Cricetulus griseus: one gene and its partners. The protein of the gene in region 1 binds, or shares a complex with, the protein of each later gene. Links are inferred from orthologs where the notes say so. Each region holds a gene or a part of one and is shown on either strand. Other genes may lie near its edges.

What was found.
Region 2: Polr2f (region 1) and Polr1b share a complex: the UniProt entries of both Homo sapiens proteins name them as parts of the pol I pre-initiation complex. The link is inferred for Cricetulus griseus from reciprocal best matches to the Homo sapiens genes POLR2F and POLR1B.
Region 3: Polr2f (region 1) and Taf1b share a complex: the UniProt entries of both Homo sapiens proteins name them as parts of the pol I pre-initiation complex. The link is inferred for Cricetulus griseus from reciprocal best matches to the Homo sapiens genes POLR2F and TAF1B.
Region 4: Polr2f (region 1) and Polr1h share a complex: the UniProt entries of both Homo sapiens proteins name them as parts of the pol I pre-initiation complex. The link is inferred for Cricetulus griseus from reciprocal best matches to the Homo sapiens genes POLR2F and POLR1H.
Region 5: Polr2f (region 1) and Taf1a share a complex: the UniProt entries of both Homo sapiens proteins name them as parts of the pol I pre-initiation complex. The link is inferred for Cricetulus griseus from reciprocal best matches to the Homo sapiens genes POLR2F and TAF1A.
Region 6: Polr2f (region 1) and Ercc3 share a complex: the UniProt entries of both Homo sapiens proteins name them as parts of the TBP-based Pol II pre-initiation complex. The link is inferred for Cricetulus griseus from reciprocal best matches to the Homo sapiens genes POLR2F and ERCC3.
Region 7: Polr2f (region 1) and Taf1c share a complex: the UniProt entries of both Homo sapiens proteins name them as parts of the pol I pre-initiation complex. The link is inferred for Cricetulus griseus from reciprocal best matches to the Homo sapiens genes POLR2F and TAF1C.

What each region holds. Positions count from the first base shown.
Region 1 is NC_048595.1:376,260,628-376,264,684, forward strand, and holds the start of Polr2f (DNA-directed RNA polymerases I, II, and III subunit RPABC2), read left to right. Parts: upstream 1-1,257; 5' UTR 1,258-1,393; coding exon 1,394-1,413; intron 1,414-1,432; exon of another isoform or gene 1,433-1,550; intron 1,551-4,057. Other genes in the region: C2H22orf23 (UPF0193 protein EVG1), read right to left, coding at 858-960. UniProt on the Homo sapiens protein: DNA-dependent RNA polymerase catalyzes the transcription of DNA into RNA using the four ribonucleoside triphosphates as substrates.
Region 2 is NC_048599.1:49,468,457-49,472,575, forward strand, and holds the start of Polr1b (DNA-directed RNA polymerase I subunit RPA2), read right to left. Parts: upstream 2,801-4,119; coding exon 2,624-2,800; intron 1,686-2,623; coding exon 1,518-1,685; intron 1,349-1,517; exon of another isoform or gene 1,324-1,348; coding exon of another isoform or gene 1,141-1,323; intron 1,041-1,140; coding exon 894-1,040; intron 1-893. UniProt on the Homo sapiens protein: Catalytic core component of RNA polymerase I (Pol I), a DNA-dependent RNA polymerase which synthesizes ribosomal RNA precursors using the four ribonucleoside triphosphates as substrates.
Region 3 is NC_048600.1:27,154,602-27,158,101, reverse strand, and holds part of Taf1b (TATA box-binding protein-associated factor RNA polymerase I subunit B), read left to right. Parts: intron 1-2,060; coding exon 2,061-2,205; intron 2,206-3,500. UniProt on the Homo sapiens protein: Component of RNA polymerase I core factor complex that acts as a GTF2B/TFIIB-like factor and plays a key role in multiple steps during transcription initiation such as pre-initiation complex (PIC) assembly and postpolymerase recruitment events in polymerase I (Pol I) transcription.
Region 4 is NW_023276806.1:228,752,119-228,756,252, reverse strand, and holds the start of Polr1h (DNA-directed RNA polymerase I subunit RPA12), read right to left. Parts: upstream 2,801-4,134; 5' UTR 2,758-2,800; intron 1-2,757. UniProt on the Homo sapiens protein: Core component of RNA polymerase I (Pol I), a DNA-dependent RNA polymerase which synthesizes ribosomal RNA precursors using the four ribonucleoside triphosphates as substrates. Can mediate Pol I proofreading of the nascent RNA transcript.
Region 5 is NC_048598.1:11,083,342-11,086,841, reverse strand, and holds part of Taf1a (TATA box-binding protein-associated factor RNA polymerase I subunit A), read left to right. Parts: intron 1-328; coding exon 329-452; intron 453-1,236; coding exon 1,237-1,391; intron 1,392-3,500. UniProt on the Homo sapiens protein: Component of the transcription factor SL1/TIF-IB complex, which is involved in the assembly of the PIC (pre-initiation complex) during RNA polymerase I-dependent transcription.
Region 6 is NC_048595.1:205,106,278-205,110,219, forward strand, and holds the start of Ercc3 (general transcription and DNA repair factor IIH helicase subunit XPB), read right to left. Parts: upstream 2,801-3,942; coding exon 2,773-2,800; intron 2,559-2,772; coding exon 2,353-2,558; intron 1,395-2,352; coding exon 1,158-1,394; intron 1-1,157. UniProt on the Homo sapiens protein: ATP-dependent 3'-5' DNA helicase/translocase. Binds dsDNA rather than ssDNA, unzipping it in a translocase rather than classical helicase activity. Component of the general transcription and DNA repair factor IIH (TFIIH) core complex.
Region 7 is NC_048596.1:196,235,005-196,237,389, forward strand, and holds part of Taf1c (TATA box-binding protein-associated factor RNA polymerase I subunit C), read right to left. Parts: intron 1,891-2,385; coding exon 1,652-1,890; intron 1,544-1,651; coding exon 1,427-1,543; intron 1,314-1,426; coding exon 1,196-1,313; intron 1,102-1,195; coding exon 1,030-1,101; intron 884-1,029; coding exon 748-883; intron 645-747; coding exon 507-644; intron 64-506; coding exon 1-63. UniProt on the Homo sapiens protein: Component of the transcription factor SL1/TIF-IB complex, which is involved in the assembly of the PIC (pre-initiation complex) during RNA polymerase I-dependent transcription.

The DNA of each region.
Region 1 (4,057 bases):
TGTTGAATAAATTAATGTATTAATGTTCATTTACATATCAGAGGCTGAAGCCACAATTGTGAGCAGGAACAGGCACTTTGTCTGGTGTCATTCATCATTTAGAAGGTGATATCTGGGGGGTGCTGAAGAGGTGACTCAGTGGTTAAGAGCACTGGCTGGTGGGATTAAAGGTGTGCTCCACTACACCGGGATTCATTCCCTCTCTTCAGTATGGAGATTAAAGGTTTATGCTACCACGCCTAACTAAAGTCTGTTGCTACTTACAATATTTGGAGTTGAAAATAGAAAAATAACTATGTATAAATTAATTAAACTTATTTATTTTTTAAAGAGCACTGGCTGGCCACGAAGTGGTGGTGAACCGCCTTTAATCCCATCACTCTAGGCAAAGGCAGGCGGATGGATCTCTGTGAGTTCGAGGCCAGCCTGGTCTACAGAGTGAGTTCCAGGACAAAGCTACACAGAGAAAGCCTGTTTCAGGGAAAAGGCATTGGTTGGCTGTTTTACAGAGGACCTGGGTTCATTTCCCAGCAGTCTCTAACTCCAGTTCCAAGGAAGCTGGCACCCTCACAAAGACATACTTGCAGGCAGAACATCAATGCACATAAAAATAATAAATCTTTAAAAAAAAGGTGATAGATGGGAAACTAAACGCCTATAAGAACAATATATTGTGCTAAGCCCAGTGAAAGGAATTGGATCTGATACTGTGTGAGAGGGTCTTACTGTGTGTGGTAGGGAGGAGATAAACTTCATTGAAAGTGCAATGTAAAGATGAGCTAACCACTCCTAAAGTTGCCGTCCTTTGAGCCTTTCAGAATCCCAGTCTCCTATCGTTGTTCCTCTAAAGCACTGACCTCTGAGCAGCTCGCAGGTTCCCGGCGTGTAAGCGAGTTGCTTACCGCAGCGCTGGAACCCGGTTCCATTGCTCACTGCGTCCACCCTCTCCTGTGAAGCCATGGGAGGGCCCTAGGAGGGAGAGAAGCAATAACCAGCCCTCCTCGTGTCGCAGTCCCAACCTCTCATCCCCAGCGCCCTGGGCGTCTGAGAAGCGGGTGCCCGAACCCTCGGCTCCGGACAGCGCAGTCACCACAGTCCCCATCGAGATGGTCCCGGGCGGAGCGCTTACCCTAACCGTGACGGCGCCCTCCTCCAAGAGATCCCGGGGGACGCCAGAGTGTTAGTGCTCGCACCAAGCGCATCTGGTTACTATGGTAACTAGCGTATACACCCCACGCACACGCATTAGCGACTCGCCTTTGGCTGCCTCCCGGAAGTGATTGCCTTTGGGTCACGGCGCAGGCGCAGACCACGCGTAGTGCTGCCGGGGAACGCTGAGGCGCGCGTCGCTCTTCTGCCTTCCGGACCGGCCAGTGCGGGCAAGGAAGGCATCATGTCAGACAACGAGGACAAGTGAGCGCGGGCTCGGAGGGGAGGAGGTCGTGGTGCGAGCGGGGCGCTTGGAGCACAGGCTAGCCCAGATATTAGGTCTGTTGGGCGAAGTCTTCTAAACTTCCTACCTCGCGGAGCAACGCGGAGCAGCATGCACAGTTAAGCCCGTGTAGCCCGTGCCCTCCGGGCACCCCCTTTCTGGAAGGGAACGCGGGTAGTGTAGTTCGTTTAGTCGTGGAACTAGGAAGGAGGAAGCAATCCAGAGGATGGCCTGGAAGGCTGGGAGCAGGCGCTGGTTTAGTGTTGCTTGGGGCAGGGTCCCACTCTGAAACCCAAACTGGTCGGGAATTCACTATGTAGCTAATGCTAGCTTTGAATGTGCCACAGACCCAGCTGAATTTTGGACATATATTTTATTTATTTGGAGACTAAATCTCACTGTATACCAGGTGGTTCGAGTTTAGAGATACAGCCCGGTGGTGGTGGCGCACGCCTTTAATCCCAGCACTTGGGAGGCAGAGGCAGGAGGATCTCAGTGAGTTCGAGGCCAGTTTGGTATACAAAGCGAGTTGCAGGACAGCCAGGACTGTTACATAGAGAAACCCTGTCTCTAGGGGATAAAAAGAATTTAGAGGTCGTCTACTTCTGTCTTCCAAATGGTAGGATTAAAGTGTGAACCATTGTGTGTGGCCCCTGGTACCCACACACACACACACACACAAAATCCTACATGTATATGAGAGAAAGAGATGGTATACACATATATCTGGAACACTGCGATTTACAGGTATATGCTACCATGGGCAGCTCCTAGATATATTTTATTTATTTATTTATTTTGAGACAAAGGTTCTGTACATAGCCCTAGCTGTACTGGAAGTCACTGTGTAGACCAGGTTGTCCTCAAACTCACAGAGATCTGCCTGCCTTTTTCTTATAGCACTGGGATTATGCCTGGCTCCTGATATATTTTTAAAATAGAGCCAAAAGGATTTCCAGATGGGCTGTATGTGTTAGGTCATAAGAGAAGATAAACTGTGGGAGTCCTAAAATAGATATAGTAGCCAAAACTCGGAAGCTGGGTGTGGTGGGCTCACACCTGTAATCCTTGCTTTGGGGAAGCTAAGGCAGGAGGATTGCCATGATCTTGATGTCAGTCTGTGCTACTTATCAAGTTTCAGGGCAGCCTGAGTTACATAGTGTACAGAGTGAGACTCTGTCTCAGAAACAAGCAAAAATACAATGAAAGCAAAGCAAAGATGGGAGTGTTGACCAGGGTGGTGAGTGATTGGGGGAGTGGGGGGGTACCCAGAAAAGGCTGAGGAGGAGTCCCACACCCCAAGTGTGAAGCAGGAGGGAAGAGCCAGGTGTGCTAGCTGTTAGAGGAAGGTGAATGAGAGTGGGAAGGATTAGCAACAAAACGATCATTAGTGAAGTGGTGTACTTTGGAGGCAGAGGCAGGAGGATCTCTGTGAGTTCAGTCTGGTCTACAGAGCGAGTTCCAGGACAGCTAAGACTACACAGAGAAACCCTCTCTCAATCAACATCCCCACCCCCCAAAAAAAGATGATCAGTCTTTTTTTTTTTTTTTTTTTTTTTGGTTTTTCGAGACAGGGTTTCTCTGTGGCTTTGGAGGCTGTCCTGGAACTAGCTCTTGTAGACCAGGCTGGTCTTGAACTCACAGAGATCTGCCTGCCTCTGCCTCCCGAGTGCTGGGACTAAAGGCGTGTGCCACCACTGCCCGGGCGTGGTGGAAGTCTTACTGAGGTGAGATTATGGCCGAGGAAAGAGAAGACTTGCAGACAGTGAGTTTGGGCAGCTCCTTCACAGATTTTGTACCATAGGAGGCTGATGAGATTGATCCACATTTGAAGGTGCTTACTGTACAAGCCTGACAACCCAGGCTTGATCCCTGGAACCCGGAGGTAGAAGGAGAGAATGGGAAAGGTTGTCCCGGTGGTATGTGTGGGCCTTCGTGCAAACACATATCATGCACACATTAACCATAACTAAAAATAATTTAGAAGCCTGGTAACCAGAGACCATGAGAATGACAATGTCACATGGGCCTTATTTTTTTTTTACCCTCCCTCCCCCCATTATAAGGGAACAAACATGGAATTAGGCTGTAGCTGGAGGAAAGAGAATAATGTGGTTTTCTCAGAGGTGGGTGGGGTAATGGTGGTGACGCTTTGCTCCTGGGAATTAATGCCCAGGGATTTCATGCTTGTTGTATATACCTCCGGCCATGAAGTAAATTTTGTTTGTTCTTGTTCTTGAGACAGAATCTCATTATGTAGCCCAGGCTGGGCTTAAATTCCTGAGTCTTCCACTCCCAGTGTCCAAATGCTAGGAGTACAGGAGTGTGCCATCACACTCACAGATTTACGGCTTTCCCCTCATGATAGGGCTAAAACTATGTTGGTGACTGGAGGGGTGGCTTAGTAATTACCAGCACGTGCTGCTTTTCCTGGGAGTGAGAGTTCAGTGCCCATCACCATGTTGAACAGTTCCAGCCACGGGACTTGATGCCTCCTTTCTGGCTTCCATAGGCGTACATTCACACACACAAACATAAATAAACCTTAAAACATAAATCCCCAGACCAGAAAAGTACATGTGCTGACTGAAGTAGTTCACAGAGAGAAACATCGATGACAAGTCC
Region 2 (4,119 bases), on another chromosome or scaffold:
TCGAGTCTGCACACTCCCACTACTTCAGCTCAGTAACCCAGAACTGCCTCACACCGCTGGAGAAACCACGAAAAAAAGGGACATGGGTCAGTCATTCAATAAGCTCAGGGAATTTTACTGTAAGTAAAAACAGTTCCTACAATACTTTTGTGAGTAAGTATGCCTCTGAACATGTATAATTCAAAAAATTAGGACCAGAAAAATCACTCAGTGGGGAAAGATATTTGCTGTAGAGCCTGAAGATCTGAGTTCAAACCCTGAGAGCCACATGATGGAAGAAGAGAACCAACTCCTCAGATGTTGCCTGCTGATCCTGTGACCTCTACACGTGGCCAAATTGAGAAAGAGCCAGGCTTGGTGGTACAACACCTTTAATCCCAGCACTGTGTGTCTGTGGGGGGAGGGAGGCGGCAGATTAAGATGGATCTCTGTGAGTTAAAGGCCAGCCTGATTGATCCACACAGTGAGTTACAGGCCAGCCAAGACTACATAGCAAGACCCACCCTACCCCAACACCCAAAAAGAAAGAAAGAAAGGTAACAAAAGAAGATCTGGGTTGGGAGTGTGGCCTGATGGCACACTTGTGTTTCAGATGAGCAAACATGTTCAGGAAGAGGAAGTAGAAAGAGGAAAAGGGAAGGAGGAAGAGGAGGGAGGGAAAGGGAAAAGAAAACGATTTCTAGGGGGAAAAATCCTCCTAGTACAATGCCAGAAACAACATTTAATGTATAGCTGCTTTCTCCACTGCCTCAATAGATGGGAGGAAGAGTCATGCACAGCACTCAGGCACAGTATCAACACTCCATACGACACAGCCAGAAATCAGAAGTCAGAAACACTGATTTCCACTGGCAAGCTTCCTGTTTCCCCACCACCTAGATCCCTGCACTTACCTCTGCCTCCTCATGGTGCTCAATGAGGGCTTGAGGAGGAAGGTTGTATAAGTTGCAAAGTTTAGACTTTACCATGATGGGAACATAGCCAAGAAACTGTTTAATGACCCCTTTGGGGACTCCATTCACTGCCCAGCTGATGTCAGCCTACATGAAAACAAAAGAAAAAATAGACTATCTGGACCTGCAAGAATAAATGAATATATTTTTTTAAATGTTTAGATGTATTTATTTTTATTTTATGTACATGAATGTTTGGCCTTCCTGTATATCTATGTACCAGATGTGTGTCTGGGGCCAGTGGAGGCCAGAAGAGGGCATCAGATCTGCTGGAACTGGAGTTACTGGCAGTTGTGAGCCACCACATGGTGCTGGGAACCAAACCCCAGTCCTCTGAAAAAATAGTCAGTGCCTTTAACCATTGAGCCATCTCTCCATCCCCACAAGTGAGTATTCTAAGAAAAGAAAGAGGGCCATAGTGAATTGATTTTACATGTTAGGTTCAAAAGATACAATTCCTTAAGTTGCAACATTAAGAAAGCAGACCTTTCCTATAACCTTATAAGACATTAGCTTGAGTCTCAAAATGGTGCAGTACAGCCACCTCACATCATTAATGCTCACCGTCAGCCTCCCACGGTAGGTGCTCCTTCGGCCCCGGCACTCGGCTGGATAAACGTTGAGCTCTTTGCAGATGGTCCCTTTGGGCACTGAGGGTGGACTGATAACAGCATCCACAATAGTAAGAGATATTCGTTCATCTTTGAAAGCAAATTCAAAGGGAGGTATGGCCTGAAATACAATTCGTACTACTAAATCACTTGCATTTTTCAAGGCACTTTTCACTAAGACTCTTCGATGTCTATACTCACTGATGTCTATCACGTCAGTGGAACACATCTAAAAGGGACAACTAAAGCTACAACAAACTGGTAACTTCGCCAACTACTTAACTATACATAACCATTCACTAGGGGCCTTTGCATTTGATTGTGGGGCAGGCTCTACAGATACGGGAAAAGGCTGAGCCAAGTCTACCTTCTCCATACAGCAGGACAGAGAGAACTGCTGCTCTTGGGCAAGAACAGGGAAACCAGATGCTCTTAGCGCCATTCTTCATACTAAGCTTTTACATTTTATTCCCTCAGACTGAAGCCTGGCAATTCAAAGAATTCCAAATGACTCCCATACTTTTAAGTTTCAATCTGGCAGTCAAAGCTCTCCAATGCATCTCCATCCCCATCTCTCACAACGCAATTGTTCAGCAACAAAACCTCAGGGTAGTGTCCACTACATACATGGCTCTCCCTGTACCTAACCTCCCCCTGTAGGGAAGAACCATCCTCTTTCCTTGACCTTGTCTAAAGGTGGGCTTTCTAAACACCTGGATTAGTCGCACTTCCCTCCTGCCCCTGACTCAGTAAACGCTACATTTTAGGGCAGTTCTCAAGAGTACTGGCATTGACTGCCTGCTGGTGCTGCTACCTCTCTCTCTATACAATCAACAACCAAGAGGAGCACTCAAACCTGAGAGGCCTCTTAACTGGGGAACCGGCTACAAGTAGCAACGAAACGCTTTTCTCTCTGAGCTACCCAAAGCATTGCACGGTGAGTGCACGTCACTGTTTAAAGCCGTACAGCGGCCTCCCGGCCACCTCCTCAACCGCTGGGACCCTCCGGGCCCACTCGGGCCGCCGGTAGGGCTCCGGAGCCGAGGGCGCGCCGCTCACCTGCACCGCGTGGCTCAGCCCCTCCAGCACCGCATAGTTGAAGGAGTCCACGTGCGCCCGCGTCAAGTCTTGCAACGCCGCCTTTTGCTGCTCCGGAGGAATCGCATAGGACGGGTCGGTTAAGTGCTTTAAGCTCGGTCCACTAGGCAGGCTCCGCCACCGGCCGTCGAGATCCATGCTTCTGCCAAGCCGAGACCGGCGACGCCACTCGCAGCCGGGACCGGAGACCAGAACCACAACTCCGCTTGCAGCCGGCAGGAAATGGCCGGAGTCGCAGACCCCACGGCCTGCTGGGAAATGTAGTTCCTCTTGTTCCGGCCCCCCCCTCCCCCCCGCCACACACCCTGGGTCCCTCCATTTTGTAGGGCCGACTGGGAACCAAAACTGTTGCTTATTGGGCCGTTGAAAACTACACACAGAGACAGATTAGCCTCTTCTTCCAGATGTATCCTGCAAACCTTGCTAAAGCCCACTGCACTTTAGTGTGTAACTTCTGTGGCCTTTATTTGCTCAATCAGTCGATTAGAACCGATAGAACTATCTTCAAAGAGTCTCTTCTGTTGCTTTGGGCAGTTTTCTGATTACATCCTGATGCTAACCCTAAGAGACTCTGGCGTCTTGGCTTCAACCGAAATGCAGCTGTTGGATCCTAAACCTCTGTTCTCTCTACCCAACTCTTTATCATCTATCTATCTATCATCTATCTATCTATCTCATCTATCTATCAATCGATCGATCAATCCAGCCAATTATTGGTCTTTTGAGACAGAGGCTCTTATGCCATCGGTTTTCAACCTGTGGGTCACGATCCCTTTGACGAACCTTTATCTCCAAAAATATTTACATTTCAACTCACAGCAGTAGCAAAATTACAGTTATGAAGTAGCAACAAAAATAATTTTATGTCTGGGGGGTCACCACAACATGAGGAACTGTCTTAAAGGGTCGCAGCATTAGGAAGGTTTGAGAACCACTGTTGTCTGTAGTCCTGGTTGTCCTGGAACTCCATTTGTAGTCCAGGCTAGTCTAGCATAAACAGAGATCAACCTGCCTCCTCCAGACTGCTGGAATTGAAAGCCACCATACACAGCCCCGAGCTACTAATAAGTCAAGTTCATCACTGGGACGGCCAGCAGGAATCAGGCTATCCTACTCAACCCCCTACGCCAAAAGAAGCCACCCCAAACCACTTCTGGATAGAAATCCTACGGTATCAGTTTTTGTATGGGCATGTTTTCAATTCTCTTAAGTATCAGGGCTAAGAACAGAATTTCTGTGTCATTTACTCCATTCTTAACTTTGTGAAGTTCTGTGAAACTATTCAAGTGAGCTGTACAATTTAACACCCCTCTAGCAACATCCTTACTATTTTATGATTGTATCAATCTTATCACTTGTACAATTGCATCTATTTGTAGATTTTGATTAGCATTTCCTTAGAGGCTAATAGTGTCAAACATCATTTCATGTGTATATTGGTTAATCTGGGAGAAATT
Region 3 (3,500 bases), on another chromosome or scaffold:
CACACATCCTCCGTGCTTAGCAACTAGTCCCGGGGCTGAGGTTAGAGTAGTTAAGTCATGCAAGACACAAGTTAGGGAAATGACCTGGAGTTGACCCTCTTAAATACGAGATGATGAACTTTAACCAGCTCCTCAAAGGTAATTTGGATTAACTGGAAAAAGGAAACATTTTGTGATCATAAAGTTATGGAACACTAGCCTGTCTGGATATGTGAGCCACAAGCTTGTCAAGAAAAATAAAAGATGCTATATGGTTTTATGGTGGCTCTTTATAAAGGGGGCGGGGGGAGAATTACTCAACGTGGTGAGAACCTGGCCTTCAAATCTCACACTTGGTGTTTTGTTTGTGGTTGTCTTTGTGTTCTATGATGTTGCCTGGTATGGAGAAAATAGGAATGAGAACCAAGGGTTCTCTGTGACACTTTAATCTCTTTAGGCTAATTGAAAACTTTAACAGACAAAAGTTTTGTCAGTATGAGTGAACCCCTGGGTGACAGTATCACACTAAATCCTGGTGAATAAATAACAAGTGAAATTAGAAGCTCATGGGTAAATTATATGATTTCTGTCTCACGAGTACAGCAATACCCTTTGTTGAAAGGGAGAGAAAATTGCATTTTAAATTAGAAACAGGTTTGGGATATAGCTTACAGACAGAACTTGCTCAGCAGTTTGAGCCCATGGGTTCCACCCTCAGAAATGTAGGCTTTTCAGTAAGTCTGCAAGTGTATCTTGGAGCTCTGGATGCTACTGTTCCAAGAATTGGAGAGGCCTGCATCTGAATCCTGCCCTATAACTTTTGAGCTATGGATAAATTGGAAACTTCTAAAACAAGCAAACAATTGTATTGTGGAGCATCGGGGAAAGTGTTAGTTAGCCAAAATGGCCAGGGAGGACTGACTTTGCAGGGAGATGAACGAGCTCTGGGAAGTGGGGTAGATTAGCATAAGGTGTAGAAGGGAAGAAATGCTAAACTTCACTCACATTTGGCGAGTAGCATCAGGCTGGGGCCCAGCAGTGCACAGGGGATGTCGAATAGGACTTGAGATGAACTTTGGTGATAGAGCCAAGAGGATTTTCTGATGGACTAGAGGTGGCTTAGGGAGACAGGAGTCTAGGATGACTATGAGGTTCTCAGGCTAAGCAGCTAGAAAGAAAGAGCCACCTTAAATGGATGATCAGGAGTTGGGTTTGGGACATGTGAAGTTTGAGGTGGCCGTTAGGCATCCAAGAGGAAATGTCATGTATATAGTGAGACATGGTCTGCCGTTGAAAAGATCAGAATGTAAAACTGTCCCTGGGCGTTATAATCATCAAATCTGATGCGTTGTTGTTTGTAAGACACACTCTTCCCCGACTTAGACACAAAGTCTCAGGCGGTCCCTGCTGGCCTCAGACTCATTCATTATGTAGCTGAGGATGACCTTGAACTTCTAATCCTCCTGTCTATACCTCTTTTGTGCTAAGATTACAGCATCCATTACCATGCGTAGTTTGTGTGTGGGGATTGAATCCAGGTTTTCCTGCAAGGTAGGCAAGCATTCTACCTCTGCACTACAGCTTCTAACCAAGTCTTAGTTAGGGCTTCTGTTGTTGTGATAAAACATCATTATCATAAGCCAGCCTTGCTGTGTAGTCAAGGACGACCTTTACTTGCCTCCACCTCCCAAATGCTAGACTGACAGTCATAGGCTGTGGTGCCCTGTTTATGTGCAAAGGGCCAAGCCAAGGGCTCTGTGTATGCCCAGCAAACAGTCTATTAACTGAGCCACATCCCCACGCCCCTGCATATGTCATTCCCTTCACTTGACAAGAGAGGTACTTCTGGAAGCAGAAGACCTGGGTGTGTGTGTGTGTGTGTGTGTGTGTGTGTGTGTGTGTGTGTGTGTGTGTGTGTGTGTGTGTGTGCTAGCAGACAGTCTCCCCACTCACCCTTGTTTGCAGTCCTCTCAAGGAAGCATTACCAGGTACTGTTGGGGAACAGTTCCCTCAGGAAGGCCTATAATAGAAGCTAACTTTTAAACTCTAGCAGTCATTTCTGTCTGTTATTTTATGGACAGGTATTGGGAGATAATCTCCAGAGTTCAGACTGTGCCAGTGAACTTGAGCTGCTAAGTGACACCACCCTTGAAAGTGGAGCAGAGTTCCAGTCTGACCCCCAGATTCCAAAGCCTTTCCCACTTGTCAAAGCATCCCCAAAGTCAGGTAAGGGGTGAGCCCATCAGAGAAGCATTTATGTGTTTTCTGTGTATGTATACAGAGTATTCGTGTGACAGTCAGAGGGCAGCTCATGGGAGTGTTCTCTCTTCCACAGTGTGGGTCCCAGGTCTCTAACTCAGGTTAGAGAGCTAATGGCTAACTCTGGCTGCTGGCTTAATGTATAGAATCTTTTTTTTTTTTTTTTTTTTTTTTTTTTTTTTTTTTTTTTTTTGGTTTTTTCGAGACAGGGTTTCTCTGTAGCTTTGGAGGCTGTCCTGGAACTAGCTCTTGTAGACCATGCTGGTCTTGAACTCACAGAGATCCACCTGCCTCTGCCTCCCGAGTGCTGGGATTAAAGGCGTGTGCCACCAACGCCCAGCTTTGATGTATAGAATCTTAAAGCCTGCATTTCATCCTAAGAATAACAGAGTCCTGCCAGGTGTGGTGTGATGCAATGCCTATACTCCCAGCACTTGGGAGCTAGAGGCAGGAGACTGCTGCCAGGCCTAATGACCTGAGTTGGATCCCAGGAAACCACATGGTAGAAGGAGAGAACTGACCCCCCCCCCAAGTTGTTCTGTGACCTCCACGTGCACACTAGCATGGGTCCTCCCCCAAAGCATGCATGCACAATATGAAAGTGAAAAATAAATGTAGTAAAATCAACCACAGCTCCACATTTCATCTCCACACAGAATTTACATAGCTGGAGTCACTCAGTCTAGTGAATCAGTCAGGTCACAGTGACCACCAGGCCGAGTGTGTGTGTGTGTGTGTGTGTGTGTGTGTGTGTGTGTGTGTGTGTGTGTGTATGAAAGTGTGTCTCATATGCGGATTTTAGACATAGAGTAAAGGATTACCAGCCTACAGTCCACACTGCCAGAGATACTAATAAACAAGGAAGACCCTAAAAGAGACAAACATTGTCCCCTAGAGAAGGGGAAAGGGTCACCATCCCCTGAGCAAATTGAGAGCATGGGAAGAGGGGGGAGGGAGCTATGAGAATGAGAAGGGAAGAAGAGGAAGGATGCAGAGGTCATGAGGGAGCAGAAAGGTTGAGTCAGGTGTAGATTAGAAGAAAGGATATGTGATAGGTAGGGTTTTAGTTGGGGGGTGGTAGGGGAGAAAGGGAGGGAGAAGGGAACTGGGATTGTCATGTAAAACAATCTTGTTTGTAATTCAAATAAAAAAGAAAGAAAAAAAAGAAAGTGTGACAGTGTGACACAGTATGTGTGTGAGAATGTGAGTGTATGTGTGACAGTGTGAGTGTGAATGTGTGTGAGAATGAGTGTATGTGTGAC
Region 4 (4,134 bases), on another chromosome or scaffold:
TCGGGCGGGGGCTCAGGGGCCGGGCTCCAGGCCGGCTCACTTGGTGTTTGCCCTCGTGCCGGCCCACCTGGTGCTCGTTCTCGGGCCAGCCCATCTGGTGCTCGTTCTCGGGCCAGCCCACCTGGTGCTCGTTCTCGGGCTGGGCGTGCGGCTGGTGGCGGGGGAAGTGGAAGCCGCCGGGGGTGGGGATCGGGGAAGCCGCCGACAGGAGGAAGAGGAGACAAACTTGAGAAAGAAAGGGCTAAGGGGCAGGGGTCTTTCACCTTAAGCACACAAGAAACATACAGGTGGCTAGGTGAGGTCTCATTTCTGTAATTAATTTTCAGCCTGACTGTAACTGGTTTTAACTTAGTAAAATATTTGAAACTTAGCACAGCTGAATTTAAGACTGCATAGGGTTACATTATAGTCCTTAAACAGTAGCTACAAGTACACATTTTAGCTGCTTGCTCAAATGAGACAGGGTTTTTCTGTGGCTTTGGACCCTGTCCTGGAATTCAATATGCTGGACCAGGCAGGCCTTGAACTCAAAAAGATCCATCTGCCTCTGCCTCTGGAGTGCTGGGATTAAAGGCGTGTGCCACCAACACCCTAAACTTAACTTCTGAAAAGATAAACATCTTATAATAGATTAGCAGCTTTTATAAAACAAGAATTTTACATTGTCAGGCTTTGCTTAAAAATAATTTTAAATTGAAGCTCTTTAAGTACAAACATTAATAAAAATAAACATTTAAAAAACTGGTTTTAAAAAGAAATTTAAATTCCCTTAATATCTTTCTGTAATATATAGAAGCATTAACACTTTAAATCTTAACTGAAAAGCTTGTTTCTAAGATGGAACCTCTAATTTCCACGCGGTCATCTTTAGTCAGGATGGCGGTTTAAGTATCTTTTTTCAACTTCAGCAAAATGGCTGCCAGTCAGCCATGTGACCAGTTTGCCATGTGGCTGGTTACAAAATGGCCATAACTTGCACCCTTTGCTTAACATGCTTGTAACAGAACTTAGGTTATACCAGGAAAAAGAACATTTTAAAACAAGTATACATAAATTACTTGAGAAATAAACAGGACTTTTTAAAAACAGAATTAGCTTAATATGGTTAAAATTTTAACTTATATTACCATTTTTAAAATTTACTATTTGTTGACATGAGAAACCATAGCAAACAGTTTACATTTTTCTCTTTTAATAATCTCTTTTCTGACCTTCTATGACTTGCTTTAACTTTCTATAACTTTTTATAGTTCTTTCCTCTGATTTTCTTAGACATTCTTAGACAAATTTTTCTTTTTCCTTTTTCTCTTTATTATTTAAGTCTCCTACATTTTCTCTCATTTCTCAGTCAATGTAAAAATTTTTATCAAAGTCCCTTTTACAGTTTTTAATAACTTTTAATAACTTTAAGGCCTTTTTTTTTTTTTAGAAGTCCGGATCAGGCCAGATAAGTTCATACGCCCCAGCTCCATGTGCTCAAGGCAGAGACCTGGGGTGGGGGTGTTGGTGGTAACCCCAGACCCTTGGCCAATGCAGGGGTGGGATAATGGGATAAAGACCCCCTCGGTCCCCCTGCATACCATGTGTGTGGAGCACAGAGAAGGCCGAGCAGCCAGGCAGATGGCGGGCCTTGCAGCCATGTTCCCTCAGAGCAGGGAAACTCCCTTGGCAGGCAGGATGGCAGCTGGGGCAGAAACAGCCCCACTTGGCATGCCTCACAGACCCGCAGGTGGGGATAGAAAGGGGGTGGTGTGGTGGATCCTGAATTGAAAACCAATGATGATAACACAGAATAGACAGGAAAGAACAGACGCCAACCCAATCCGCCCGCGCCGCTTATAAGGCAATGGCGACGGAAGATGGGCTGCAGAACCCAGCGGCTACAATCATCACTAACTGAGGAGGATCCAAGTCCTTGGCCTCCGTTCGTACCTCCTGGGTGTCCTCAGAGCAGCAGTCTGTCCTCCGGGCGCATCTGCTGATCACAGTTGAGGTGGCATCATGTGCTCAGAGCATCAAGAAAAGACCCCTGACCCATGCATTCCATGTGCATGGGCAGTAGGGACAGAAAGAGATGTTTAACACAGACTAGGGTCCTATTCGGAATTTCAGATGGCTAGCCCCGTGGAGATCAACTTGGTTCGAAACCAAGTCTCCCCTATAGATTTCGGAAGGCTGCCGCCCGAACTTCCGCCTTAAACAATTCTTGTAGGCCTACTCACAGATGTCGCCAGAAACCCCAACATAGGACCTCCATATCCACAAAATTAACAGAAATAGTAAAATTGACACACAAGCAGACGGTTAGGGTGTGGGCTGCAACAGATCAGATAACAGATAACAAACCTGTTGCTCAACTGTTCAGTCACCCAGCCCATTCCAATCCTCTAGGCTTAACAGACACCAACAGCAAAACAGGACATCAGACAGGACAAACCCTGTGGCAAAGAAATGGTGCCCCAAACCAAAATTACAAACAACCCTTGGACTTCATCCAGGGCGGAACCAAGGATTCCAGAAATACGTCTATTTCTGTGCACGTCTGCTTACCCTATGGTTCAATTCAAATAGCCCTCGGACTTTTGTCCAGGACGGGACTTTGAAATATGTCTATTTCCCCCTGAAGTCCAAATTACAAATCACGAGTCCTGCGCAGGCTCAGATCAACAAAAGAGCAATTTCAAGTGGCACCAAACCAACAAAAACAAGCAAACATATAACATTGAACATATAAGTTGCGAGCTCGAATCATCTTACCTCCAAGATCGAATCCATTCAGGTGAAGGGTGGTCGCAAATCGCGGACGAGCCCCCAAATGTTAGACCCCCCGGAAAACTCAGGTATCCGGGGTCCCAGGCCACATTCTCGGTCACCCCAATCACCAGGCGGATTCGAGAGCTTGATGCAAACTGCATGAGGCTTTATTGTAATTTAACAAGCTAACCCCATGTTAGCTCGGGTCTTTTACCCACCCGCCGTGGCAGATGGCTCGCAAAAGACAGCTCCTAGGGTCTCCCAAGAGATCTTACAGGGCAGCGTAAGGGGAGTGTCTAGGGGTATGCACAGGCTCACTATTGGTGTGCCTCCAGCCTTGGAGGGCTTGCCCTGTGTTGATTGGCCAACTGGTTGTTATGGCCCATAGGCCCTCCCAGGGTGGTTGCTATGCTTTGTGCGTCATTGCTGAGTGCTTATCCATAAAGCACACCCTGGGTCATAAAGTATAGCGCCACCAGCTAACTTCTGATTGGTTCCTTGTCTCGAGGCAGGCATCTGACTTTCTAGTGACTAACTTCTGATTGGTTCCTTGTCACTAGGCAGGCATCTGACCTCTAAGTGACCAAGACAAGGTTATGGCAAGCATGTGTTCGGCTGTTATGGCTGCTGAAAGGGAAGCTGGTCCCTTCACTATCAGTCTCCACATGAGTTCATGCCCATGCAGAAACACCCACATGAATATCCAGAGCTGTCTAAAGGGTCACAGCATCAAGAAGGTTGAGAACCACTGCTCTAGTAAGTGAAGAGAGTGAAAATGCTAGACTTAGGAGTCAGAATGGAATGGTGAGAACCAATTCCTGGAGAAATGATCTGAGAGCAAGGACATCATTTTCCAGCTATGGGAAGGAAAGGACCAAGCAGGATGCAGGATTATGAAGTCCTAGAGGAAACCCCTAGCCTAGGACCTCAGATCAGGAGGCATGAGAGAAAACATTTTCTTTAAGCTTGGTAGGTTGGTAAATGCCTGTAATCCCAGAGCTTAGACAGGATCATTTGGAGCCAGAAGACAGTGGGCTTCGTAGTAAAGCCCCGTAACAACTCAGGCTGAAAAGTGGAACATCACCATACTCCAGAAAGCTTCATGTACTCCCACTCATAGCCACCTCCCGGCATCCAAGAATGTATTTCTAAGTGGTACTATTTGCAGTTACATTGTGGGGATGAACTTTTATTCATTGATGTTTTTAAATTCATCCTTGAAGATATATAGAACTTAAAATGAATGTGCTAAAAACAAATTACCTGGTCTGTTCACATAATTTGCACTATTGATTTTTTTTCTCAACTTGGAGTTATGCTTTTACAAAGAAAAAAAGAGCAATAACAATTCTATCCTTATGTTTCTAGTTCATGTGCAGG
Region 5 (3,500 bases), on another chromosome or scaffold:
CTCTGTTAACCCTTTGAGGGCTGTTGTGCAGTATAGTAAAGAACGTCTGCCTTAGAAGTCCTTGCTTAAGACAGATACTACAAAGTCTGAAGGTCCCAACCTAAATATACCAAAAATGCCAAATAGGGTAGGCGGTATTTAGAGGGGTCTAACTGCAGAAGAGGCTCACCATCTTATGGTCATCATAGGACACTGAGCATAATGAATTGTTTTAAACATTTAACCAATTAGAAGGCCTGTAGTTAACAATACTTCATTAACTTGGTGTCTCTTCTTAGCGCGCTTCTCCAGTACCGTCTGTAAGCTTAGGCTTTTGTGACTGTTGCAGACACAGAAGAACACCAGAAGTTGGGCCTGAGCGTGTTATTTGAATTCCTTGATTTTGCCGGATGCACTAAGAACATAACTGCTTGGAAATACTTGGCAAAGTGTCTGAAGCAGACATTAATGGAGTGAGTAAGAAACAGTATTTTTCACTGGCTTATCATAAGTAATAATTGCCACATTTTAGTGGTTGCTTTTAAAGTTTTTAACGTGATGTTTTCACATTTCCTTTATGGGCTACTTAGCTCTTTCTTTTCTGAGTATCAGAAGCTGTGAAATACAAAATCATAAGCCTAATTGAAATTAGAAATCCTGTGCATGTATTTTGTGTTAGCAAAATCAGCCCTGCATTTTTTTTTTTTTCCTTTTTTTGGTTTTTTGAGACAGGGTTTCCCTGTGGCTTTGGAGGCTGTCCTGGAACTAGCTCTTGTAGACCAGGCTGGTCTCGAACTCACAGAGATCCACCTGCCTCTGCCTCCCGAGTGCTGGGATTAAAGGCGTGCGCCACCCTCACCCGCTATCAGCCCTGCATTTTAAAGTGTCTGATGCTGCACTTGCCAAGCATATTGTGAGTGCCACATTCTGGGTGTGAGAAAAGACGTGGCTCTGCTCATGTATATTCTGGGTGTGAGAAAAGGCGTGGCTCTGCTCATGTATATTCTGAGTGAGGAGCCTGTGATTGGAGATGGAGGGTCTGAGATTTCAGTCCAGGGCTTTAACTTGGTGTTCATGCTGTAGGGCATGGGCTCTGAGGTGGGCATGGGATGTGGAGACCAAGAAGAGTGAACGTGAGCTTGCCTCCATGCTTCTGTAGTCGGGGCTTGTCCCGTGCTGTCTTAGAGACCTCCCACATTGAGCTCCTGCTGACAGCTTCCCCTCACTCACTTGCCCTTTTCCCGTGTTTCCTTGCAGAGGCCATCTGGTATGGGTTGAAGAAGAGTGGATGTCTAGAAGAAGCTGGTGGCCCACCTTTCACTTCAGCTTCTTCTGGGCAAAGAGCGACTGGAAGGCAGATGCTGACTTGGCGTGTGAGAAAGCTTTTGTAGTGGGAATCCTTTTAGGAAAAGGTCTGTGGTTTTGTTCTGTTTATTTGGATGTAGTATTGGCCAAGTCTGAAGCTAGAAAGTGGGCCGGTTTGTTCATCTTGTCCAGTATGATGCCTAGGGGTTTTAGGTGCTTGAGAAATGACAGGACTGAGAGTGTGAGCCCTCAGCAGGATCGTGATAAGAGCTTATTCGGGGTCCTGTGAACTGTGCGGTTGGCTTCTATGCCCTGGCATGAGTTCGGGACATAAAATGCACTGTTCAGACTCTTGGGCCTTCCTGTGCAGGTTTACTGAGCTTATGGACAGTGTCACAGAAAGCACAAAGATGCTCTTAGTTGACCTCAGTTATTCATTAGCCTCTCCTGTCCTGTAAGGAATGCACATCCCCTCCACCCCCACACCACCCCAAAAGAAAGAATACCACCTATTAACAGCAAGTCTTCTAAAAAGAGGAAATTGGTCTTTTATTATGGGATATTTTGGCCAGTAAAATGCTTACCTGCTTTGCACCACTGAAACATGAGTGGTGGAACACACTGAAATAAAACTGCCAGGAAGTACATCCAAAAGTATGAAAGGAGTGCTTCAGTGAGCACCGGGAACCCTGTGCTCATGAGCTCCCAGAGTTCGCCTGGTTGTGGTTTGTGTCAATGCCTAGTGGGACCCTGAGGCTACACCATGTGCAGTGCTAAGAGGGCGTCTCTTGTGGAATGAGAATTGGTGTGTTTCTTGTAGTCACTAAGATTAGGAAAAGATTGATTTTATGAGAAAAGGAGGATTAATGAGAACAGAGGTGAAAAATGCCATTTCTAGTCACACACTGGTGATGGCACAGAAATGGGCTTGCCTGCAGTGCCTCATCACTTCCTGGTCTCTGAGCACAGACCGTACAGACGGCTCAGGGTACTGCATCGGAGCAGAGTCTGAAGGGACAGTTTCCAGTCTTCCTGTCACTTAGATCAAGCAATGACATTTGGTGGCCTTCTGTGTGAAATGTTCATTGTAAACATGGCTCTTTCCTTATTTGCTAACAGACTTATAAATACCAAGAGATCATCTCCTGGAGGGCTCTATGAATTCCCAAGTATTCTAGAATTATGAGACATGTTTTTTTCTTGAGAATGGGCACCTTTCTTCCATCAGGGTATGTTCTGGCATTGAGCTGAGTTTGCTTCTCACTCTGGCCACCACTGTTACACCTTCACAGTCCATCTTGGTCAGCTTCTGCTTTGTCTGAGAAAGGGTGTGACAACTGTTGTTCCTCCCATGCTGTGTGTAAAGCAAGGCAGGCCCTTTTTCTCTTTGGAGGGATCTTTCCTTATAGTTAGCAACCCATTGCCTTCCACCTTAAGCTCTCTTCAGGTTTATGCAGTTGTTGGTGTTAGGACAGGGTGAAATTCTATCTGGTTTTCTGTATAGGTAAAAGCAGAGATCTGGTTGTATTTAACTTTTACTATAAAGTAGTTTATGAATATAAATTAGTGCCTTATTTCCAGATACTTAGGAGGCTGTGGTGGGAGGATCTTTTGAGGCCAGGAATTATATGCAAACCGAAACACCACAGATTATTTTAGTAACACTATGGGCACTATAGGCCCCACCACTAGCATGCTGTCTCTGAGGATGGTAGGTGGGTTCTGTAGTTATGGTGTATAACCTAGTATTTTCTTAGGAAAGATAGATGTTTGTCAGCTGAGGATATAATAAAAATAATTTTTCATATGATTTATGATTGTTTTAATATATGATTTAATATAAATAATCACAGGTAGGTCTGGTGGTACAGGCCAGTAATCCCAGCCACTTGGGAGGTTCAAATAGGACAATTCCAAGTTCAAAGCCTACCTGGGTTATACAGTAACTTCAAGTCCAGTATAGATAGGTAACTCCATGGTACCCTTCTTAAAACAAAAAGAAAAAAGAGGCCTGTGGCAGGTACTGAAGAGATGGCTCAGTGGTTAACAATGTTTGCTCTTCTCACAAAGAAGCCAAGTTAGGTTCTCAGCACCCACATTGGGTGGCCAACAACTGCCTGAACTACACTCTCTTCTGGCCTCTGTAGGCACCCATAAATATGTGATGTGCACACCAGCATACATAAGTAAAAACAAAAATAAATGCTTCAAATCAA
Region 6 (3,942 bases), about 170 Mb from region 1:
AAAAACAAACAAACAACAACAACAAAAACCAAGACAAAACAAAATAACCCAGCTTTTAAAAAAATTGTATTGGCAAATGAACTCATCCCTAGCCACCACTGCCTCTATTTTAAATCTTAAGACAAGTTCTTATAAACTGACCAGCTTAGCCTTGAACTTTCAATCCTCCTCCCTGGACAGTTGGGATTAGAGGCATGTGCCACCATGCCCAGCACAATGTAAGCTTCCTGGTGACGACCCCAATCTGCTAGTAAGAGTCCAATTGCCCCAGCACCATAATCCTTATAGGCAGCTTCCCACTAAGACTGGGCCTAGCCCTGGTGATTTCTCCTTGGGCATCCTTCTATATCACAACAACAGAGAACTCTGTAGAGCTCCAAAGCTTTTCTGGGAGTGGATGTCCCTGGTATTCTGCCTCCAGATGTTAGCCAACGGTAACAAAAACTACTGTCCTAATATTCACTTATGTTCAATTGCTGTGCCCATGGAACTCTCCTTACTTCAACATTTGAAATTTTGACTTTCTCTAGTAGAATTCATTTACCATGGGTCTTGAGTTAAGTATTTAACCTTAAATGGTGCTCACTACCTGTAATAGTCAGTCACCAAAAACCACACAACAAGGATTTACTTTTTCAGAGTTCTAGATGTTCATGATCAATGGACCAGGACCAGCTGATTGAGTTTGTGGTCAGGTCTCCTGACTGGTAGATTGCCACCTTCTCTCTACATAGTCCCATGAAGAAGGGACTTATGACAACTCTATTAAGACAAGTATCTTCCTGACTGGGAGGTCTCACTCTTATGGTCTCATTTAAGCTTACCAAATACAGGTATATCGTGGTTAGGATTTCAATACACACACACACACACAGATACACACATATAAATGCAGTCTATATTGCCAACCATTCAGAGCTGTTTTCCCAAATAACCCTTGCTAGACTGAACCTGAATCATTACCCCATGCTAGGACAACTCATGGGAAGCATAGCCTCAGCCAGAACCACAGCTGGATACAAAGCAGCAGCAGCTAGGCAAAAAGCTATTGTACTACCAAAGGAGACACAAACCAGGCTGCATTTTCAAAGCAAAATACAATATCCAAACACACCACAGCCACATTATCAAGATAATTAGAGTTGCTAGCAACTCACCTTAATAAACTGCATAATCCCATCAGGGACTCCAGTCTTACTGAGCTTTTTGAGGTACTCAGTGATGTCACTGGTTTGCAGCCCAACACTGACAGCTGCATAGAGGGAGTAGGCAGTTAACTTGTATTCATGTACATGAGTAGGCCGGCACACTGGCTCTGCAATTGCCACCAGGAAGTCCTGAGCGTATTTGTAAACTGGAGAGAAGGCTTCCAAAAAAATGTGGCCATCAGGAGCCTAAAAACAACAAGTAAACACAGCAGGCAAGACTATTAATGAGCTGCAGATCACTAGACTCTCATATCATTATATCAAAAAGGATGAGCTGTCCAGTGCTAAAGATATTCTTAGACATAGAAGATCAGAGAAAAAAACAGGTTTCCAATGTTCCATATACAGAAATCTTCTCTAACTTACTATTCTCAAATTGCCTTTTAGATAGAATGAAAATGAGTGAAGAACATTATGTATTTTAAGTCAAGCAAACTCAGCTACCAAATACATGTCTTCCATTAACTTGAAAGGGGGCCAAAGAGATGGTTCAGTGGTTAAGAGCACTGCTGCTCTTGCAAAGAAGCCGGGTTCCATTGCCTATAACCATGAGCTGGAAGAGGTGGGAGGGGGCCGAGGGGGGGGCGCACGGGGGGAGTGTTGATGGCCAATCAGTCTAGCCAAAAGAGGGAGCTGGGCAAATAGGTGAAGAGTGATTGAGGACAATCTCCTGACATCAATCTCAGGGCTCTATAAGCAGCCCCATGAGCACACCTGCACAATGTGTGCACATAGACCACACACACAAAGAATAAGTAAATGCTATTTGTACATTTATTGATTGTTTGTATGTGGTGTATGTGTACGTGTGAGTGCAAACATGCCACAGTTCCAATGGCGAAAGTCGGGGAACAACTTGCCAGAACCGGTTCTCTCCTCCTACCTTGTAGGTACTGGTACAGACCCAGGTCTCACTGTTGACCTGCTGAACTATCTAGCCGGTCTACAATGCTATTAGGCATTTGCCACTGTGTGGTGGGCTGGGGACAACTGGGGAACGCCCAGGTCACCCCAGCTATTCCAATTTGCACGCACAGCAGTCTCTCCAGCTGTTTCAGAAAAGCAGCATTTCTGAATCTTGCATTTTGGAGGTGTGGGAATGTCCAAGATTTAGCTGCCACCCAGACTTTTGGGCCACGCTTACCACCCAGAGGGGCCTGGAAGCATGATCGCTCTTTAGCGGCATCTGCAGCCTGTAGTCCTTGGCTCCATACTCATCCACTTTGGTGCCGGACTCGTCCACCTGTTTCCCAGCGGCTGAGGGCACTGCCTCCTGAGAGTCGTTCCCAGGCGTGTCGTCTTCGTCCTCCTCTTCCTCCTCATACTGCCTCTTTTTGGACTTCTTCTTGTCTGCGACAGAAGACAGAGAAGTGAGTCCAGCAGGACTCTAGGATTCACACGGCACCGCACAGGGGAACTTGTAAGTTCTCCTGAACCAGCACTCTGTATCCCGGCGTCCCCCAGGAGTCCCGCAAACACCTCCCACCCGGCTCGGTACCGCATCTCCTGGACCCCACAGACAGGAGAAAACCCTGAGACAATGACCGTTACAAGGAGTCCTTACCGCGATCTACTCGGTCTCTCTTGCCCATAACGGCTCCAGGACCAGACAGCCACAGCACACCACACCGCGTAAACTCCGGAGGAGTTACTTCAGAGGAATTTCCGGTCCATGCCGGAAATACAGCACCAGACGGTCGGAAAACCCGCCTCTGAGACTTTGGACCGGAAGAGCGGAGCCACGCTGCTCACAGCCGACTTAAAGTGAGCTGCGCGTGCGTGGGGTGTTCGTCCTCCACTCGACGAGTTTGTTTTGAACCTCATTAGTGCTAGGGGGCTTGCGCTTACCCTGTAGTCCAGGCTAGCCCACAACTCAGAGATCTGCTTGTCTCTGCATCCCCAGTGCTGTGGTTCACTGCGCCCTGCCTTCGCTCTGGTTTTTGTTGAGGCCACTGCTTAGATCGCTAAGGTAGGACAGTGAACACACCTGATGGTTCCCTCAGCCTCCCTTCAGCTGGGATCACAGCCGTGTTCCACCACACCTGGTTTCTGAAAATTAAATTCTAAACGGGAGAGGTAGGAAATACACATTGTTTTAAGGGAAATAAAATGGTCCAGTGTCATTCTAAATGGAGTGGCCCTGAATGGGGGTGTGTGGCTCACTTTTTGCCTATACCAGAAACCAAAGAATAATCTTGGTACCTCACCAAAGATGACACGAACAATAACTCAGCAAGGCATTTCTTTTTGAAAATGGTGCCCCAAGGGGGCTGGAGAGATGGCTCAGAGGTTAAGAGCACTGACTGACTCCTCTTCTAGGGGTCCTGAGTTCAATTCCCAGCAACCACATGGTGGCTCACAACCATCTGTAATGAGATCTGGTGCCCTCTTCTGGCATGCAGTCATAGATGCAGATGGAACCCTGTATACATAATAAATAAATAAATCGAAAGAAAGAAAGAAAAGGGTGTGCCAGAACCCAAAGGGGCTAACAAGCACATTCAAGGAGGCTGTTCACGTAGTTTTTAATTTGGTGATTGTGTGTTTTCCCCATTGGCTGGGGTTAGACCTCATGGCTTCTGACAAGTATCCGGTTTTAAAACAAGGCACAGAGGAAATGGAAGGAAGGGGAAAGGTAGGGTCAGCTGTTTTGAATTATCAAATTCTGGTCAGCAGCCTGCGTGTGGCGGGGGCAAAAGTTTGTTTGTTTTTTCCCCTCCCATCTAGCAGGTTC
Region 7 (2,385 bases), on another chromosome or scaffold:
GCCGTGGTCCCACTTGAGCATTGGCACCAGGGGGAGGCGCTCATCCATCAGGTAGATCGAGAACTAAGGAAGAGGGAAGGGGTGGACATGGCTGATGCCTGGCACCAATCTTCCAATAACCCTCTCCAGGCCACACAGTCTGTAGGTGGTACCCAACACTCAGAGGAGGGCACTCCCATCAGCCTTCAAGCTTGGCCTACCAAACTTGGAACACGTATATTTCCTGGGCAGACAGCACCATCCCAGAAGTGTTCTCATTAGAAGCATGAAGAAAACTTTGCTCCCAATGGTAAACTCTCATGCCACCTGGGACCCTGAGCAACAGTCAACCTCTGCCTCCTCCCAGGTTCTGATCTGATTTTGCAGATGACCCAGTTTGCCTGCCTTAGTGAGATCACATGCATGGGGACCCAACACTCCCCTGTTCCTGTGGCTGTGTATCAGGCTGGTTGTCAGATGTTCTGGAGAAGCCTGAGTCAGAGCCTAAAGAGGAGGCTGCTTCTTACCTGGGTGCAGATGAGATGCAGAGGGGTACAGGTGGGACCTGGCTGCCCGAGGTACTGGGCAAGCAGCACCCGTTCTCCTTTCTGGCAGGCAGCCTCTGCTCCAGCACGGAACAGCAGCAGCCCACAGCCTGGGGGACCCTAGGGAAAGAACAGCACAATCAGCCAGTCTTCAGGCTGGAGATGGGCCTCCTACAGCCCATGACTTCTGGCTCTATTGCTTCTTAACCCCTCTCACCCATACCTGAATGTCAACCATCTTCAGACCCGTGCGGTCACCCACAGTCAGCACCCGGGGATGAGCAGTGAAGTCTACCCAGCGCCAGGGAGAAGGATCACGGAAGGCAAGCGTCTCAGGGTCCTTGTAGACCAGCTGCAGCCTTGAGGAAGGCAGGTCATGGGTATGGGTATGGTGGGGCTTGGGGGCACAAGGGTGTTGGGCTGGGCTGGAAGGAAGACTGAGCCATGGAGCAGAAGGCCATGGTTCTGCTTTGGGGTGGAAGGTTTTAGGGGAAAGGAGAATTACCCATCTTGTGGGGTCCATAGACACACAGCTCCAGAACGGCTGCAGATGGCCATCTCTCCTGGCAGGTGAGGGCTACAGGGCACAGGACGCTATGTTATGTTATGATCCAGCAACCCAGCACTTCCTTCGGGCCCTTATCCTTGCCAGGAAGCCAACAAACTCTCACCTGAGGCTAACACCAGTGGCCCCCTTTTCCACCTGCAGTACCTGCAGGGATGCTGGTGGCCCCTGCTTATCAGTCTTCCATATGGCACAGTGGTAGTCAGAGCGGACGGCCAGAAGTGCTGGGGAGAACAGAAAGGTCAGACTTGGAGTGTGTGTATAGCACTGGCTGGGATGGTAGCCAGCTGGACAAGAAGGAAAAGGGGAAGGGAGAATGCAAGGGAAAGACTCTCACTTTCTCCCTGGACAGTGCTGGTCACCACCTGCCGTACAGGTCCCCGCAGCTGGATGTGCCCGGGGTCCTCAAGGACCCTGAGATTGCCACCTGAGTTCACACTGACCTCCTGGAAATCTGAGCCCCTGGTTAAGGACTGGGATGGATTCTTGTCACCCGTCTTAACTCTTCCCCTGGACCACTCTGTGGATGGCCTCAGGATCCCCACCACATGAGAAAGGATACTCAGCTTGTCCAAGGCACCTCCACTAGGGTAGACCAGTTGTCCAGCCCGTGCTGTCCTTCCAGGAAGCCAGGCCAAGGCACCCCCGGTGAAGGCCTCATCCAGCAGCAACTGCTCCCACCGCATAGCCAGCTCTTCATGCAGCAGCCTCCCCAAAAGCAATGACACTGAACTGCTCAGGACAGGACCCCCAAGGATGGAGAAGCGACGTAGTCGGTGGCTAAGGAAAGCCCAAGGACACCTAGGGACAATGCAGCAGAGGATGGTACTGGGACAGTGAAGGATAAGCAGTCTCTTTGACAACTCCCTAGAAAACACCCTACCCAGTTCCTGGACCCCATACCCTGAATATTTCAGGACCTCCTAGTGAGTGGGCCACAGAGAGCTGGGAGGATCCAGCCAGACCAACCAGTCTTTTCTAGGATTTGTGATACTTTGGATACTAACTCCTTGGAATAATCCTGTTGCTACTTGAATTAAGTCAGACAGAAGGAAGTGGATGAGAAAAGAGAGCCCTGTAAACATTCTGAAAACCTGGATGAGCTGTAACTAAGATCAACCAATGACCGATTCTTTTTTCCCTTAAGCTGCTTGAAGCTGGGTTTTGTGGACTCGTGGCTCATGACTTTGGGCTGGGTTAGAAAAGCCACTGTGATGAAAACCTGGTCTGTGTCCTAGATCCTTCTACATCCCACCACCAGCCAGGCCTATCCATGGCTGCTTTCTCACTGGCTAC